Struthio camelus: one gene and its partner. The main gene of each other region encodes a partner of the protein of the gene in region 2 in a complex. Links are inferred from orthologs where the notes say so. Each region holds a gene or a part of one and is shown on either strand. Other genes may lie near its edges. The genes, in order: RANBP3 and KPNA4.

Region 1 (8,233 bases), on a different chromosome or scaffold from region 2:
TAAGGAAGGATTAGAAAATGGAAAATAAAGTATTTATGAGACTATTAAAGGACATGCTTGTAGTTGTGAAGAAATGCACCACAGAAAGACTGCTCATTAAAACATTTTTGAAGGCTTAAAAGATATTGGTAGAATGATTATTTGGAGACAATATTCACATCTCAATAGTGATGAAGACAATAGAGTAGGAGACACTAGAACCTAGAAAGTAAAAATAACTGATATATTGTTTAAAAAGGAGAAACTGATGAATGAATTGAAACAAAGAGGTGCTATAGTACAAGTGATGGGTTAAAATAAGTTTTGTATTAGTAAGCTGAAAGGACACAAGCAGAACAAAGAGAACTTTCAAGGCCAGAAGGTTTGATGCAGCAATCAAGGGATTAAGAGCCAAAGAGTTTCACTTGCATGAACACACAAGGCAAACTATTGTTTAAACATGCTAAGCATAAAAAAATCTGCGAGAATGACACGCAGTAGATACAAGTACCTAGAAAGAGGTTTCAGTCAAAGAATAATTAGCTTCGTACTTCATAACGAGGTATGATCAAGATAGCATTGTTATACAGACTGATCAAGATTGAGGGAGATTAAGAGCTCTGTTTTAACCTTGCTTCATTTGTCTCCCTATGAACATTTAGCTGTCAAATACCTTAAACAGGAAAAGACTGATACAGAGTAGAAGATCAAAGAATTATCTGTAAAGAAACAGTCATTTCATGTTTGCAAATGTGAATACCCAGACACAGGAAATGAATATTTCATCTACAATACTGTGACAATCCAAAGTTGACAGACAAATATGCTTAAGAATGAGGAGACAACAATCAAAGTCACCTGAGAACATCATTGCAATGTCAGAGACAGCAAACAGGGGAAGTAGGAAGGCTACGGAAGCCACTGGCTTTTCAGCAGAAGGAAGCCAACTCCATAAAGTACATATACTTGCACTAGTATACAAAGAACAGATAAGTCCAAAATGAATCTGGAGGAAAGAAAACTAACACTAGGCAGTGCACCCAGTGATACCAGAAAGAGCAGAAAAGACAACAGTTCAGAAGCAAACTGATCTTGCTTGATCTTAAGAAAAACTTTCTCATGGCAAGAAGAAACAGAATAGCAGGGCATGAGGATGACAAGTGCAGAAGGAGATACAAGCACAAACTAAAAGAGATTAGCTGGTGAGTGACGCTACTGGAGTCAAGGAAGGGTCCAAAGAGAAAGAAAGAGAGAAAAAGGAAGTCCTGATGAAAAAGTAAAGATTGTACCTTTTTTGTCCTCCAGAAAAAGTATACAACATTCTGCAGAAAGATAGAGAAGGAGGAATAGAAACACATGACAAGTCCACATGAAAATACATAATAAACATTGGTAATGTGTAATTTACCTTTGAGCTTAATGTTTCTCTTTAGAGTTAGAAGTTAAAGTGGAGAGCTTGCACGACTTCAGATAGTTATTCCCAAACTTCTGGTACTAAAAGAATCCAACAGGCCATCAAAGCTCATTATCGAAGGTCTGATATACTGCCATCAATAACCACTTACCAATTTGACTGTTTACTACTGTTCCTGAAACCAATTATCATGTGTCCCTGGGCACTGACAACTCCACTTCAGTTTGGGAACCAACAGCCAAAGATGCATCGTATCTCAGGATTTGTCAAATAATTTAAATGTAATTGTATGGTTAGCTGATTGAAGGATGCATCCTCAAAATCTACAATAGATGTTTGCTTTCTGTTGTTTCATGTTAACATCAGAGCCACTGTTCCGGTGTCAGAAATGCTCTCAAAAGAAGGGGCTTCATCATACACACTTTCATTCTCCTCCTTGAACATATTTTCCCTCTTTCATTAGCCTGAGAAGAATGATGAAGAACAACACAGACCACTGGGGATGAACTTGTGTTTACTGAGATTTCCAGGGAAATTACTCATTCTCAAATGACTACTGATGTGCTGCATCAGTTAAACAGCATTCTACACACCATCCACCTTGGAGCAGCATTTCCAAACCCTACATTGATACAGTGATATTTCACTAATACCTTTCAGAGTGAAATAAAAGTCCTGTTTCTTTATTTACAGAGCTTTCAAGCTAAGCAAAAAATTATTAGACTTCACCTAGCTTTCTATAACAGCTTCCCTTCTCCAGAGGCAGAATTAACATGAGCGGGAGTTAAGGAAGATTTACAATAGTCCAAAAGTTAGGGACGATGACCCCGAAGAACAACTAGAAAAGGAGATGCGAAGAGGCCACCGACTCTGCTGGACAAGAAGAACAGCGCTCACTGCCACGTTTAAGCATTAGGCGATTGCTCCTTTCGGCGGTGACTCGACCCTCCCCCGGAGGGCAGGCGAGCGCTGCGGGGACACCAGTGCACGTTTTCTGCGCGCAGGAAGTGCGGGAGCAGGGACCTGGGGCCGGCCGCCGCCCCCGGGAGCCGCCCCGCCTCACGGTGAGCCCTGTACCACCTCCTGGCCGGGAGACATTTACCAGCGCTGCCCGAGGCCACCGCTCCCGCGCTCGCAGCCACCCCTGAGCCCCCGCAGGGCCGGCGGTAGCGAGGACACCCACTCCCGGCGGGCCGCCAGCCCTGCAGGCGCTACGGCACGGGACAGAGCAAGGCCGAAGAGGAGCGCGGCGGCTCCGCCGCTGCGGCCGGTCGCTCCCTTTGTCCGGCCACTCGCCCCAGAGGAGCCGAGGTGCGGAGAGGCCGCGGGAAGGGGGCGCTTCCGCGGGCGGACCCGCGCCTGGGCGCTCCTCTGCGCCCAGATGACAGGGACAGGCTCGGCCAGCTCGGGGTCAGTGCCGCCACCGCCCGGAGACCGAACCGACAGAAGCCGCGACCAACACCCCCCACACGCCACCAGCGTCCCCCTACCTTCGTTCGCTAGGTCCGCCATTTTACTTCCTCAATCACGCCCACAATGCATCACGCAGCCGGACGGCCTCCACTTACAGGGGGCCCAGCGGGGCAGCGCATGCGCAAAGGGACAGCTGCTCCGTTGAGTCACTACGCATGTGCCGACGGCCAGTGCCGGCAGTCTGGCAGGAAGGGTGCTCACGTAGGTGCTGGGAGCTGCCCCGGCGCGTGGGGTCCCTGCCGCGCGTGCGCAGGGGCGCGCCCCCGTGGGAGGCCTGCAGGGGCAGGAGCGAGCGCGCCGTCGGCCGCTGCTGCCGGATGCGCGGCGCGACGGCAGCGCGAGGGAGGGCCGGCCGGGCCCGTCGGGGGACGCGAGCGGCAGCTCCGCTGTGTTGGCAGGTGGCGTCCGCGGGGCTGGGCTGGGCTGCCTAGGAGGGCACTTCGCGACCGGTTGCGGTGCAGCGGCGCAGGCCTCTGGTGTCGGCCGTACTCCGTGTGCCACTTGCGGCCCGGCCGTGCGGCCCGGCTGAGCCCGGCCTCCGCGGAGCGGTGTCCGCAGTGCCGGCTGGGTCGGGCCTGGCCGGCTAGCCTGGCTGGGTTCGCCACAGTGCCAACAGGTCACCCCCTTGAGTCCAGTTACTCTCTTCAGTCTGCTCCCCTTGCTTTCCTCCAGCGTTTGCAGTCGTTGGATTGGGGTCTTTTGGACGTGTTGTCCGCAGTTCTTTCTGTTTCCTATTTTGCTGTGCACTCCTGTCAGCCCCCATAGCCTCTAATGGCTGCAAGATGCAGAATTTCACCACCTGAGTTAAACCAATCTCCTTTCATTACTTTCTATTTACTACTTTCCTTAGTGCTCCACAGTTGTTGTCTTGTGGGATTTAACTGGACAATAATTCTGCATTCCGCAAGTTACTTTGTGATTGTATCAGCCTTGACCATCTCTTCCCTAGCCTTTTCTCCAAACTGAAGAATTCAAAGCATTTTAGTTCCACCTTCTAAGCTTCTCCACCCCCTAGATCAATTTTTGCCTATGCTCTGTGACTTCACTTCACTGCCTCCCACTTGAGATGTAGAGACCAGAACTGTACATGTTACTCAAAATGTAGGTGCACCAACGTTTTATATAGCCACAAATTGATACAGTGTAATATATATATATGGTGTATATATACACATAGAGAGAGAGAGAGAGAGTAAAGATACAGTATATTATTTAGTGACATTCTGTTGTGTTCTCAATGTTCTTGATGGTGCCCCATATTTTGTTGGCTTCTTTGGCCAGTCCACTGACTGCGTTGACTAGATCTCTACTCATTAGAAAGGGAGCCAACAGCAAATAGCTCAGAGGTGGACTCCTAGAATTACATGACATAAATCCTACCTTTAGTGATTGCTTTACGGAAAAGCTCAGTGGCACACTATAAAACCAAAATCATTAGAATATATCACTTACAAGCCATCACATGAGCACGGAATAGAGTCTGTGATCAGGGCCAGGCCCCTAATCACTCATCCAAGTACCAGGTATGTATATGTGGTTTTGCTGCTAGGAGAATTTTCATCAGGAATATGACAGTAGATGACAGCAGAACTGGCAAAAGTTAGTAAGAGTAAATGAATGGCACTAATTTAAATTAGAAAAGATAACCTATCTTTAACCAGTAGCAGATGTCAGCATTTAGTGAAACTTTTCTGAAGAATGGACAGTACTATTTGGAGCTGTTTGACTACTAGTAGGAGCTGTATTATCTGCTGAATGGACAACACAGTGGGCACAAGTAATCCAGGTTATTTCTGAAGGGTGTTAGGGATAAATTCTTAACACCCTTGCTGGATGGGCCATCTAGTTGGACTAGATGCTGTTCTGGATCTGGTACTCATGACCAAGGAAGGATTGTTTGGGGATGTGGTAATCAAGGGCAGTGTTGGCTGTAGCAAGCATGAAATAGTAGCATTCAGGATCCTGCGGGGAGTGAAGAAGGCAAGTAGCAAAGTAACAGATCCTGGACTTCAGAAGAATAGATTTTGGGTTATTCAGGGAAATGGTAGATGGGATTCTGTGGGAGGCAGCTCTGAAGGTCAGAGTAGCTCAAGAGAGCAGGCAGGTCTTTCAGGACAGCTTCCTCCAAGCACAGGAACAGTCTATCCCAGCAATCAGGAAAATGAGTAGGTGTATCAGGAGATAAACTTAGCTAAACAGGGAACTCATGACTGAACAAAAAATACATATACTGGAGACAGAAACAAGCATGTGCTACAAAAGAGAGATACAGAAACATTGCTTGGTCTTACAGGCATGGTGTTAGGAAAGCTAAAGCTCAGTTAGATTCGAAACTGGCAAGGGATGTCAAAGGAAACAAGAAACGCTTCTACTGCTATGTTAACAATAAGTAAGCAAAATATGGGACTGTTACTGAATTGTATGGATGATTTCGTGACAGTAGACACAGATAAACTTGAGGGACTCAATGCTGCCTTTGCCACAGCCTCTTCTAAGGAGGTCGTCTAGGCTTCTGTGCCCAGAGGTAGGGTTCAAGGAGAAGAACTATCTGTAGTGGAAGAGGATCAAGTCAAGAATCTCTTGAGAACACTCAGCCCCCGCAAGCCCATGGTACCGAAAGGGTTGCATCACAGGGGGCTGAGAGAGCTGGCTGATGTCACTGAGCAGCCACTCTCTGTTATCTTTAGAAGGTCATGGAGATCAAGGGAGGCCAAATCCACATTGAAGGGGATACTTTAAGACTCTACTCAATCCATTATTCAGAGTAGACTACAAAGGCAGAGGGAAAATACAATTAAGCGTGATGCTTTTCAAATATCAGAGAAAGGTCCTGCCATCTTTCCTTGACTTAAATAAACTTGCCCCTGTGTGGTGTGCCATCGTGTCCTGAGCAAATCAGTCCCAGGGCCTTGGAGGGAAGGGTCATGGTATCCCCAAAGTTGCCTCAGGGGGCAGGGGAAGGGCATGGCGCTAGTGTAGTGTAGACATTCTAAAGGATGGACATGCCTGAGATGAGAAAGCTACCTCCTACTCCAGCTTCTGGAACGTAGCGTATCACCTGCTTGTTGAAAGGTTGTGGATAACAGTACTCAAAAGATGGAGAGAAAGAGGAAAGAAATCCTGCTCTAACACTGGCTTCAGGGTAGACCAAAGCTGGAGGACAGAACAGGGAATGTCTTTTCCTGGACCAGCTGCACAAGAAATCCCTGGAGCAACTAGGCAATAAAAGACCTGGGACTGATAACACTGCTGGGAGCTCTGTGGTCACAGTTCCTACCTTGAGACTCTGGCGTAATGAACCCAATGGCTGAAGCCCTGAAATACGTGAAACCTCTTGTGATTCATGTAACCATATGTACTACAGAGTGGATGATATAAGGGATTGCATGTCCCATCTGTTGCCCTTCTTCAGTTAAAAAATTCATGTCAGCTGAAACTCTGCAACTGTGAGGATGTTGGCTGTGATGTCTGAGATAGATAACTGATTCTTAGAATAGTTTCTTACACTGTTGTACACATTGTTATACATTCTTAAAATAGTCATGCCTATCTAATAAAAGCAATCCAAACAGTGGGTGCTTACTAGGCTCTAGTGGTGAAAACAACCCTCTTTTCAACAGTCATGGGATTCTAGAGATAGTTTCTTAGTACTGTATGGTGAGCACCAGTTCCACTAGATGACCTGAAATATGACCTTCTGCATGGGGAAATTTTGCACCCATTGCCAGTCATTAAAGTTCTGGAGGATAATTTTGTTCCACTAGTGTGTATTTTGTACTCTCACATTATAGTCTGAGGGGGACAGTGTGTAGACTGCAGCCACCAGTGCAATCAGTTCCTGTAAGGGAGGGAGAATGTCACAGCTGAGTTAGACCTGCCTTTTCTCCCGGTCTTGCAACACAGCTCCATCAAGGAAGCTGGTATCTGCCCATCACTCCCTGAACACTCTTGTCCCTGGGGTGAAAATGGCCCTGAAACAGTCTTCTATGTTGGTTGCCTTGCCTGTGGCAGTTACAGAAACATTAGGCAGCACATACATTGCAACACTGCAAAAGAAGACCCTGGAGATTTGTATGGAACAAGATGCCTGTCATAAGAGTATTCTGGTGTGATCACAAGGTGTTCATGAGTCAGGTGATCAGAAAGTCCTCTTATTGACTGGTTAAATGACAGGAAATTAATACCTGGTCTGTTTGCACATCACTGAGAAGCCATCAAAAAAGTCCAGTGGGAAAAGAGCAGGAACATTGCCTGTTATACTAAATTAATATTAATTAGTGAAACTAATGAAGGGTTTAGGAAGAACCTCACAATACTGAAAAATTGAAAGTAATGTACATGGGGAAAACCAAACCTAACTGTATATAGCAATGATTTATATTTATGTATGTATATATGAGCGCGTGTGTGTGTGTGTATGTGTGTATGTATACACATACCCCTATAACAACCAGTTGCAAACACACTAGAGTTGAGTGGTTCTCTGAAAAAATCTGCTCAGTGATTAGCAGTAAAGACACAAAGAGACTACTAGAAATTATGAGGCAAGAGTAAATGCAAACAAGAAACATCAGTATGTAGATGTATAATTTCATTTTGTGTCTATGTGTTGAAAACTATGTACAGTTCTACTTAACACCCCCCTGTCCCCCGCCCCCCACCAAAAGATACAGTAAAACTAGCAGAACTGCAGGGAAAAGGAAGAAGGGTTATTACAGGAATTGAACTGTTCTATGTAACAAGCGATTACGTAGGGTAGAGTAGCACTACTCTGAAAAAGAATCATACAATAGTAGAAAAATTAATGCTGGGAGGGACCTCTGGGGGTTTCTAGTCCAAACTCTTGCTCACACAGGGCCAAATTCAAAGTTGGATCAGGTTCCTCAGAGGGCCTTCCAGCTGAGTTTTGAATATCTCCAAGGATGGAAATCCCACCATCTCTCTGAGTCCCTGTCCCAGCGCTGGACACAGCTGGAGTAGACACAGTGCAAGCAATGGAAGCCTTTATCCTACCCATTTCTGATTTCTTGTATTGGATCAGGTTCCTACCCATTTCTGATTTCTTGTATTGGATCAGGTTGGACTATTTTATGTCCAAGTCCAAGAAGTCCAAGAAGTCATCCTGACAAGTTTGTTGAGTCTCCTACTTGCTACCCGAGTTCCATAAACTTAGAAAGATCTTGACCTCTAGATGGGCAAAACAGCCACCATCATAATCTGCTTTGACAGTTACAAGCAGTTTAAACCAGGATTTTAGAAATCAACTGACAAATTTAACTACAGGCAAGTCCAAATGCAAATAATTCTAGCAGAAGTTAGAATTCAGCCATGCTGAGATACTTCTGTTATCAAAGAATTTTTTATTCA
Region 2 (8,163 bases):
TAAATCTTAAAAGCCTAACAGCATACTGCATGTACTACACTAGAAACCTTAAACACTGCAAACAGATACTGCTTTAGTATTGGCTGCAGATTAGCTCTCTCATGCCACTAACTCTTCAGCTGTTAAAGAGTCTGTATCGCTCAATATTTATGTGATCAATCCTATAAATAACAAAAAAAGGACAAGGAAGCATTCTGTATTTCTGGTATTTCTTTATTCCCAGCCTAGTCATCAATGTCATCTTCAAACATACAGCAGCAATTGTTTACAACATAACAGGTCCTTGCATGCATGTTTATCCCATGCTTAAGTGCACGAATAACTTCCATTAAGCCCGTATTTTGCAAAATAGCGTGGGTTTGTTTTAAGACCAGGCTTTACATTTGTAGAAGCACATTGATATGAACTGGAAAGTGAAAGTCAGCTTTAATTTATATTTACATAGGCAAAGAGCTAAGCATATGCTTAGCATTTTTAAAGGTAAAAGCTAAAAATTCTGTTTTCTGAAAAATAGACAAATAACCCCCTACCAGGTGAAAAGACCTGAAAGTTGAGTACAATGTGAGAGCAGCTACTATTAAATTAATTGCCAATGGAGCTGAGAAACATGTAGGAACGTGAACCATTTTTAAAGAGTTTATAATCTGCAACATGATAAACCTCCATTGTCCCCAGAAGAATTCATTAGTTTGGCATTCACCAAAACTAATTCTAGAGTGATTTAAGATTTGTAAGATGGTGTATGGAGGCCAACCGTCACAGGAAAGAAAAAAGGATCACCCGTTTTGAATAAAAGAAACTAATGGCAAAAGATGCAACTTCAGCAAAGGTAAAGTGGGGGAGGAGTGAAGGAGGCAGGACAAGGGAAAGAGAAAGATCAAACGTTGGCTTCCTACGTGAAATAAATAGACAGCTTTCTGCCAAAAGCAACACAGAAATATACCTGTATTATGAACAGACTGAACACTCACTAGTAACTGTTGCTGCCATAGGATGCCTGACTACAAGCAAGCCCTACCAACATCTCATGCTCAGATGAAAAACGTGGTGTGTAAGCAGTTAACAAATAAGAATGATAGCCATAAGCCTGAGCTATTGTATGAAAAATAACTGTCCATGGTAGTTATTTTAGGTACCAAGCATATGTTCCAAGATTTGTTGGATAGATGTCAGTATCTAAAATTTAACAGTGCCCAACAGTGTTTTTTCACTACAGAAGGCCGCTTAAATGCATCAGCGAATTCAAAAAATACTTGAGAGATTACCTGCTTCCCGATACACACACACAGGGCTCTTATTTCTGCATGCGTTCATGTTAAGCCTTCCCTACTTCAGCTGACTTACCTTAAAACCAAGTATGTAGGCACCAGAAGAGAAATAAGGCGGACACACTCCAATCTATACTTTTCCATAAGGTTCATTTTTAGTATGTCAGCATATACTTTACTGCACACTTTCCTAAACAGTCTCTTCCTGTTCAGTTATCCGTTCAAAGACAACTATACAACTTAAGACAAAAACAAATCAACATCTAAGGCAAGTTCTCACTAACAAAGGTAACAACTCTACTAAACAACAGCGTAATCATTGCATTAACTATTGCCCTTTACAGCTATTTTAACATTTGGCATTGTCAAACTGAAGAATAAACTGCTATACCAGCACAATTGTTTCTTGGTAAGGAGTTGCCTTGGATATTCATTTGTCTATACTGTTTCGAAACAAACAAAAAAAAACAAACAAAAAAACCTCCCAAACCACCAAGATATTGGCTTCTAGATTAGCCAAATGCCCAGGAAGAAACATGGCTGATATTCTCCCTGAATGATAGACAGCTAAGTAAACGCATCCTTTACTTTCGAAAAAAAAAAAAAAAAGGTAAAATCATCTGTGTGGCGATTTCATAGGAAGACTAGGATCTTATACTATGCTATTCACAGGGACACATATTGAGGCAGATACAAAATGGAAATATCCAAAGCCCATTTCTTCATCAGACATAACCCCCACGCTATGAATATTACCATACACAGGCTCCCCAGTCAGCACTGCTGGCAAGCATTTACGGGTGAGGCTCGATATATAATTTTAGTATTAGAATACTTACTAGGGAAACCCTAAAATAATTACCTCTTCTGCTGTGTTGACGAAGCAGCTTTACAGCTGAAGCAAATAGCATACATGGCAATCCGGCCTCCAAAAAGTTTAGAGGCTGAATACTACAAGCCACGACTGTTTCCACGGCTCAGCGAATTTAACACTAAAATACTAAGATTCGCCCCCTTTTCCAAAAGTGCGTTTAAGCGAACAGTTATTGCCTACGCTTAACGTCACGGATTAATACTCGAGTATCTTGGAGACAAACAGCACAACTGGGCCTTAATCCCTGACTCAGGCTTTTCGGGGCTGCTCAGCGCAAAAAGAGTAGTTATTAAGCGTTCGGGAGGAAATTAAAGGTACGAACGCGCTACTTCCATTGCGGCAGACGAGCACGGCCGCGCGGAAGCACCTTAACGAAGGGCGGTTTTAGCTACGACGCCCAGGCGGGCCCGATAAGCGCCCGGGGCGCGAGGGCAAGGCGGCCGCGGGGGGGGGGGGGGGGGAAGAGGCAGGGAGAGCAGGGCCCGGCGGAGCCGCCAGCGCCGCCCCCTCCCCCTCACGCGTGAGGGAGCCTCACGCGCGTGGCGAGACGGCGGCGGTGGCCGCCCGCGCGCGGAGCCCAACGGCCGCGCCCGGCCCCACAGCGCGGCCTCACCCCCCCCCCCTCCGCCGCCGGGCGGGGGGGAGGGGAGAGGAAGGGGGGAGGCGCTGCCGCCTCTTTCCGCGCAGGCCGCGGGGGCCCCGGCCGGCGGATTAAGGAAAGACGCCACAGGGCGGCGGTTACCTCCAGGTCGCGGCCTTTGTTCTTGAAGTTCTTCAGCCGCTGGTTGTCCAGTTTCTCGTTGTCGGCCATGGCGGGGGGAAGGTGGGAGGGAGGGAGGGAGGGAGAGCGCGCGGCGGCCTCCTCCTCCTCCTCCTTCTCCTCCGCCGCCGCCGCCTTCTCTTCTTCTTCCTCCTCCTCCTCTTCGCGGGCCCGCGCCCCTGCCCGCCGGGGTCCCCCTTGCCGCCGCTGGAGCCGCGGCCCGAGCCGCGCCGCGCTGCCGGGGCGGCCGCTGCCCGCGGGCCCGGCTGCCTGGGCGGCGGAACGTGCCGGTAGCGAGGGACGGAGCCGAGCGGGGGAGGGGAAGGAGAGGAGGGAGGGAGGGAGAGAGGGAGGGAGGGAAAAGGGGAGGGAGGAAAAGAGGGGCAGCCTCGATCTGGGCCGGCCGGCCGCGCTCGCTGATTGGCCGCGGCGCCCGAGGCCGGCGGCGAATAGGAGCAGCGAGGCGGAGGGTGGGAGCCGCGCGGCGGCGTGACGCGCGCGCTGACGGTGCGCGAGGGAGGAGGGAGGGGGGGAAGGGGGCGGGGCGCCGGCCCTTCGAGGAGGTTCGGCCGCTTCCCTCAGGCGCGGCGGCCATTTTGGGTGGCCGGTGCGCGCCGCGGGGGGGGGGGACGACAAGCGGCGGGGGGGGCCGGGCCGGGCCGGGCCTAGATGCCTTCCCTCCCTTCACCACTCGTCCTCTCCCCACCCCGGCGGTTGCTGCTGCGTTCACCCAGCTGAAAGTCAGCAACGCCATCATCCTTCGCCCCGCTCCACTTCGTGTTCGCTGACCCCCAAGGGGCGCCCCCGGCGCCCTCAGGAACGTCCCCCCGCGGGAGGCGCTGCCACTCGCCGCCGGTTTATAAACAAAACCAAGCACAACACGTTTCTCCAAAACTGCCCCAAACGTGGCCGCGGGATGGGCCCGTGGGTGTGTGTCAGCGCCGGCGGGGAGGGTTTGCGCGGCGAACGCGGGGCAGCGAGGAGAGAGGGGCGGCGGGCCACCCCCCCCCCACTCCGGGCCCCTAGCGGGGAGCGGGACGGTGCCAACCAGCGAAGCTTCACGAAATAATGAAATCGGGAGGGAGCGAGGCACTGGGGCTGTCGAGGTGGCCTCGGTTTGACGCCGTCCAGACCGTAATCCAACCCGCTGTACTTTTCCTAGACTTTGGCGCTCAGGCGACTGGTTTTGGAAAGAGGAAGAAGTAGCGCGCGGGAAGCGGCAGCAGGTATCTCGGCAGCCTCCTGAGAGACGGGGTAAGCTCTCTTAAGGAATCAGCACCACCCGTATGCAGATCTGTCTGCGGGAGTGCTGCAGTTCAGCTTTACTTGCCAGTATTCTCATTTACGCTGCTCAGCCGCTGTACACCAAGCCCCCAAGCGAGATTTAGTGGCAGTAATTCTGACAGATAAGGGATGAACAGCGTTGGGAGCAGAAGACTTTTTCAGTAAGATCATGGATCTTTCCTGGCCTCTTAGCACGATGATGAAGATAGGCTGCAGTGAGCCAGAAATAGGTTGCTGTTGTCTTTTGGACTCTGCTACCTCAGGTAGGCCCATGTCTCACTAGTTTGATGATGACAGTCAGCCTCTGTGGCGGTAGATTTTGGCCAGTAGCAATTACTGTAATTCATTCTCAAGGGCTGTAGGTGGACCGCGTTCCCAAACTAATTGTGAGCATTCAGCAGATAGGCTTCTCACGTTTAAGTATAATTATCAGTGTTAGGCACCTTTGTTAACTCCCTGCTTCCTTCCAGGGTGCTTTGTGACAAGTATTACCCATCTGTTATGCAAACTGTGGTGAGCTGGAGGAGGTGGTTCCTGAATTTGCGTTGAACACCCCAGCAAAGGGAATGATATTATGAAAATTCCACAGTGGTGCTTTGCTTGAGTATAGTCCGGGGCATTTTGATTACACCAAAAATGTGGAGCTTGGAGTATGTCCCTGCCTTCATTTTAGTAAATCCTAGCTATCAAAAAAGTTTTTTCTTGGGAATGCCAATCTGATAAGCTATTGCCTGTTGACAGTGACTCTCCCAGAAATACAAAAGAAAACTCCTCACTTCTTTAGCTGTTCTGTGATGCAGCTGATTAGAATACAGAGAATTTCTAGCAATGTAGACAACTCAGTGATTACCAGAAAAAAAAACCCACACATTTTCTTCACAAAATATCCAGTGGTTTTTCTTCGCGAGGCTTACTTGTTAATGCCTGTGACGTTTGGACTCGATGGTAATTTTTGAGGGAAAAAATGCTCGTAGTGGTACCGTGTCCAGTCTTCCAGAATATTGGAAAAAAAGTTCTGTCCAAACTGTCTAAGCTAACCTTGTTCATTTTGATTGAAAAGAGATAAGGAACATTCAAAAAAGCATGCACGTGCTGAGCAGAGGGGATGGTAACTTCTACTTCTCTAACTTGATCGAGAAAAGAATGCCTCTACAGATAAGTAGAAGTGCTCACTGGATGTTATACTGTCCTGGTCACGTGTGTAGTTGTATTCAGTCGTAACGCTTGTAGAATTAAGCCTGGTTTCTTCTTTGTTAAAGTCTTATATGTTGATGAGCCTCTCATTTCATCAGTGGCCTTATGATTTTCCTTAAACATACTTGTTGAGAAAAGTAAAAGCCATGATGGAAGGTGCAATCTTTCAAGTAGGTATAGTTAAGACACTTGGAGATTTATGAATATCAGAAGAGAGAACTTAATTTTAGTTTTATGCTCAAGAAAACATGACGATGATGATCTCCCAGGCTACCGTATATTTTATGTCGGGGAGATTTTTCAGAGCATGGGACGCCGTTCCTAGATAGAGTTGTAATCGAGCCTGAAAGTGATAGAATTCGAGTCACCACAGCCATGTTGATTGCATGAATGTAGCGGCAGTGGCACGACAGTGCGGGTAGGGTGAATTAGTCAGGGTTAATTAGTCCAGGTGGCATTCCATATAGCCATAGCTAGCTCTCTACCAGTACGTAAACTAACCTGTTCAAAGCTGACTTAGGTACAGCTACCGCTACACATTGCAGTCGGAACTTACAAGAAAGACTTTTTCCCTGACATTGCTATTTAAATCGAACAACAACAAAAAAGTAATTTGTCAGTTTGATGGTGTTTTAGAATACTAATTAGGAAAAAAGAAAAGAAAAAAGAACACTTATTTAGCTAGATTTTGGTTGTTACCACAGCACAATTGCCTTAGGAAGACAGGATGTTACAGCAGTAAAACCATCGCAGTATCATACCTCACTTTTTCAAAAGTAATATACTTTCAAATTGATGGTGTCACTTCCAAAGAGAAGTCTTTAATAAAGAGACAAGAAAAATTAAAATATGTAAAAAGTAGCAATGCATGACGTCTTAGAAACAAGAAATTGTATCAGCTTCCTCAGTTTTAATTCAGTTAAAGAAAATCACCAAATAGTTTCTCATCACTCTTAGCAGGGACAGTAGCTTCTGCACTTACTGTTTCAGGAAATAATCAGTAAGTAAAATATTTTTCTTTACCAAATTGGAAATCTCTAATTTTTGCTGTAGCTTTTGTTACTATGAGTTTCTTGTATAACCTCCTGTTTACACCTGAACCGTTTTAATTAACTGAAGGGAAACGCCCTGCTTGTGCTTTAATTTTCAAGAATATTTTAAAGCTGCTTCCTTTTGTGATTAAGGATTGTGTTGTATGTTTCACTAGAATACTTAAAACCCTTCATCTTTTTTAGTGACTGTCATCTTTGAAATTGCCCTAGATGAACATACCTGTTGTAATCACGTAGTTGATCACATAATGGAAATAGTATTTCACTGGCAACTGTGCTCTAGTACTTTTTGCTGAACCACAGCTTTTTACATGCTAAGGGTACGAAATCCAGAAAGAGAGACCTAAAAATAACAAAGATTTAACTAATAACCATTGCAAAAGATGTGAAAAATCAGGATGCAGTACTACGAATCTGTGAATGGCTGTGAATGGCTGATGCAGTTAATACCTTTAAAATTGAGCTCCTTCTGGGGAAATTATGTACTGAAAGAAGAAAAAGATGAGAATTGTAACGAGTGCAATAGCTTTGCAACTTTATCTAAAAATATAAACAGAAACATTGAGAAGTTACCGTTACACTATAGAATGAAGTCGTTGCTCTCAGAATTAAAAGGTGACAGATATTTTCCAGATCTACCAATAACTTGCTGGTTGGTTGTAATGTCACTTCCATTGAGAAGAGAGAGCTTGATGTCCTTGAGAAGCATCTCTGCAGAATGTTTTTTGAAATTTTGTGGCTCTAAAAAGTTTCCTTTGTGAATCAGTGTCTTAAAGGAGAATGGAGGCCCTGGTTCTGCGGAACGACATTATTATACTAATGACATGGTTATTAATAGTGAAACTGGACAAGGTACTAGAGTGTTAAACTCCTCACGGTATCGTGAGATTATAAATAGTCAGGTTATGAAAGTAAAAAAAGTAAATATACATACATATATATGTATATATAGTATCTAAGACCCAATCCAGAAGAAGTCTGTGAAGAGGAAAGAAAAAATATTTTGCTCCATCACAACTTTTTTCGTAGCTACCTTTTTCCTGTCTTTTCTAACTCAAGCTCATCCTACCTCTGCTACCTCCTGCTGTCACCACGCATAGCACTGACTGATTACGTAGCGTGTGGTTTGGGAAAGATGGAATTGGAAAGCCAGCACATTCTTTTGTGACCAAAACTGACTCAGTGTTGAACAGTGACCTTTAATGAAGTCATCTCTTTTTTGACCTTCCCTCTACATTATTGGAAAAAGATTGACAGAGACAAGGGACTGAGCAATATCTTGTCATTTTATGAGTAACCGTTTGAAAATAGCTAAGAATCACCGAGTTAGTGTTCCTTGGAGAATCTTCCGTCAAAACCAAATCTATTCTAAAATCACATTACTGCTTGCATTGTCAGATCTAACGCAACATTCTGGTGTGTATAGCTTTTGTACAGTGTACCTTTGTATGAAATATAAGGACGTGCTTCGTTCTTATTAAATTATGTATGTTCAGAGGAATACTACCCTTCAGGAGTCTTTGATATGTGTTTCTGGTCTGGTATCATCTGAAGAATAATTTATAGTATGACTTCAGTGAAGACATAATCAGAGATTAATCAAGTGCGTTTTGTTTAACTGTAGTCTAATTAATCTGTTTAGCTCTCAGTGGAACAATTATCATGTTATATTCTTACTGGTTTGATTTTACCTCAGATCTGCAGTGCTAATCTCCCAGCACTTGGAAGACT

The links.
Region 1: the proteins of KPNA4 (region 2) and RANBP3 are in contact, whole or in part, in a crystal structure (PDB 5XZX), measured with the Homo sapiens proteins. The link is inferred for Struthio camelus from reciprocal best matches to the Homo sapiens genes KPNA4 and RANBP3. Residues at the interface, in NP_002259.1 of Homo sapiens: Arg96, Leu99, Ser100, Asp102, Arg103, Pro105, Phe133, Trp137, Thr140, Asn141, Ala143, Ser144, Gly145, Thr146, Ser147, Thr150, Glu175, Gln176, Trp179, Gly182, Asn183, Gly186, Asp187, Asn219, Trp222, Val225, Asn226, Arg229, Asp261, Trp264; in NP_015561.1 of Homo sapiens: Asn114, Tyr115, Cys116, Pro117, Pro118, Val119, Lys120, Arg121, Glu122, Arg123, Thr124, Ser125, Leu127.

The regions. Positions count from the first base shown.
Region 1 is NC_090967.1:1,733,186-1,741,418, reverse strand, and holds the start of RANBP3 (ran-binding protein 3), read right to left. Parts: upstream 3,009-8,233; 5' UTR 2,906-3,008; coding exon 2,884-2,905; intron 1-2,883. UniProt on the Homo sapiens protein: Acts as a cofactor for XPO1/CRM1-mediated nuclear export, perhaps as export complex scaffolding protein. Bound to XPO1/CRM1, stabilizes the XPO1/CRM1-cargo interaction. In the absence of Ran-bound GTP prevents binding of XPO1/CRM1 to the nuclear pore complex.
Region 2 is NC_090950.1:31,080,147-31,088,309, reverse strand, and holds the start of KPNA4 (importin subunit alpha-3), read right to left. Parts: upstream 3,166-8,163; 5' UTR 2,954-3,165; coding exon 2,885-2,953; intron 2,758-2,884; exon of another isoform or gene 2,131-2,757; intron 1-2,130. UniProt on the Homo sapiens protein: Functions in nuclear protein import as an adapter protein for nuclear receptor KPNB1. Binds specifically and directly to substrates containing either a simple or bipartite NLS motif.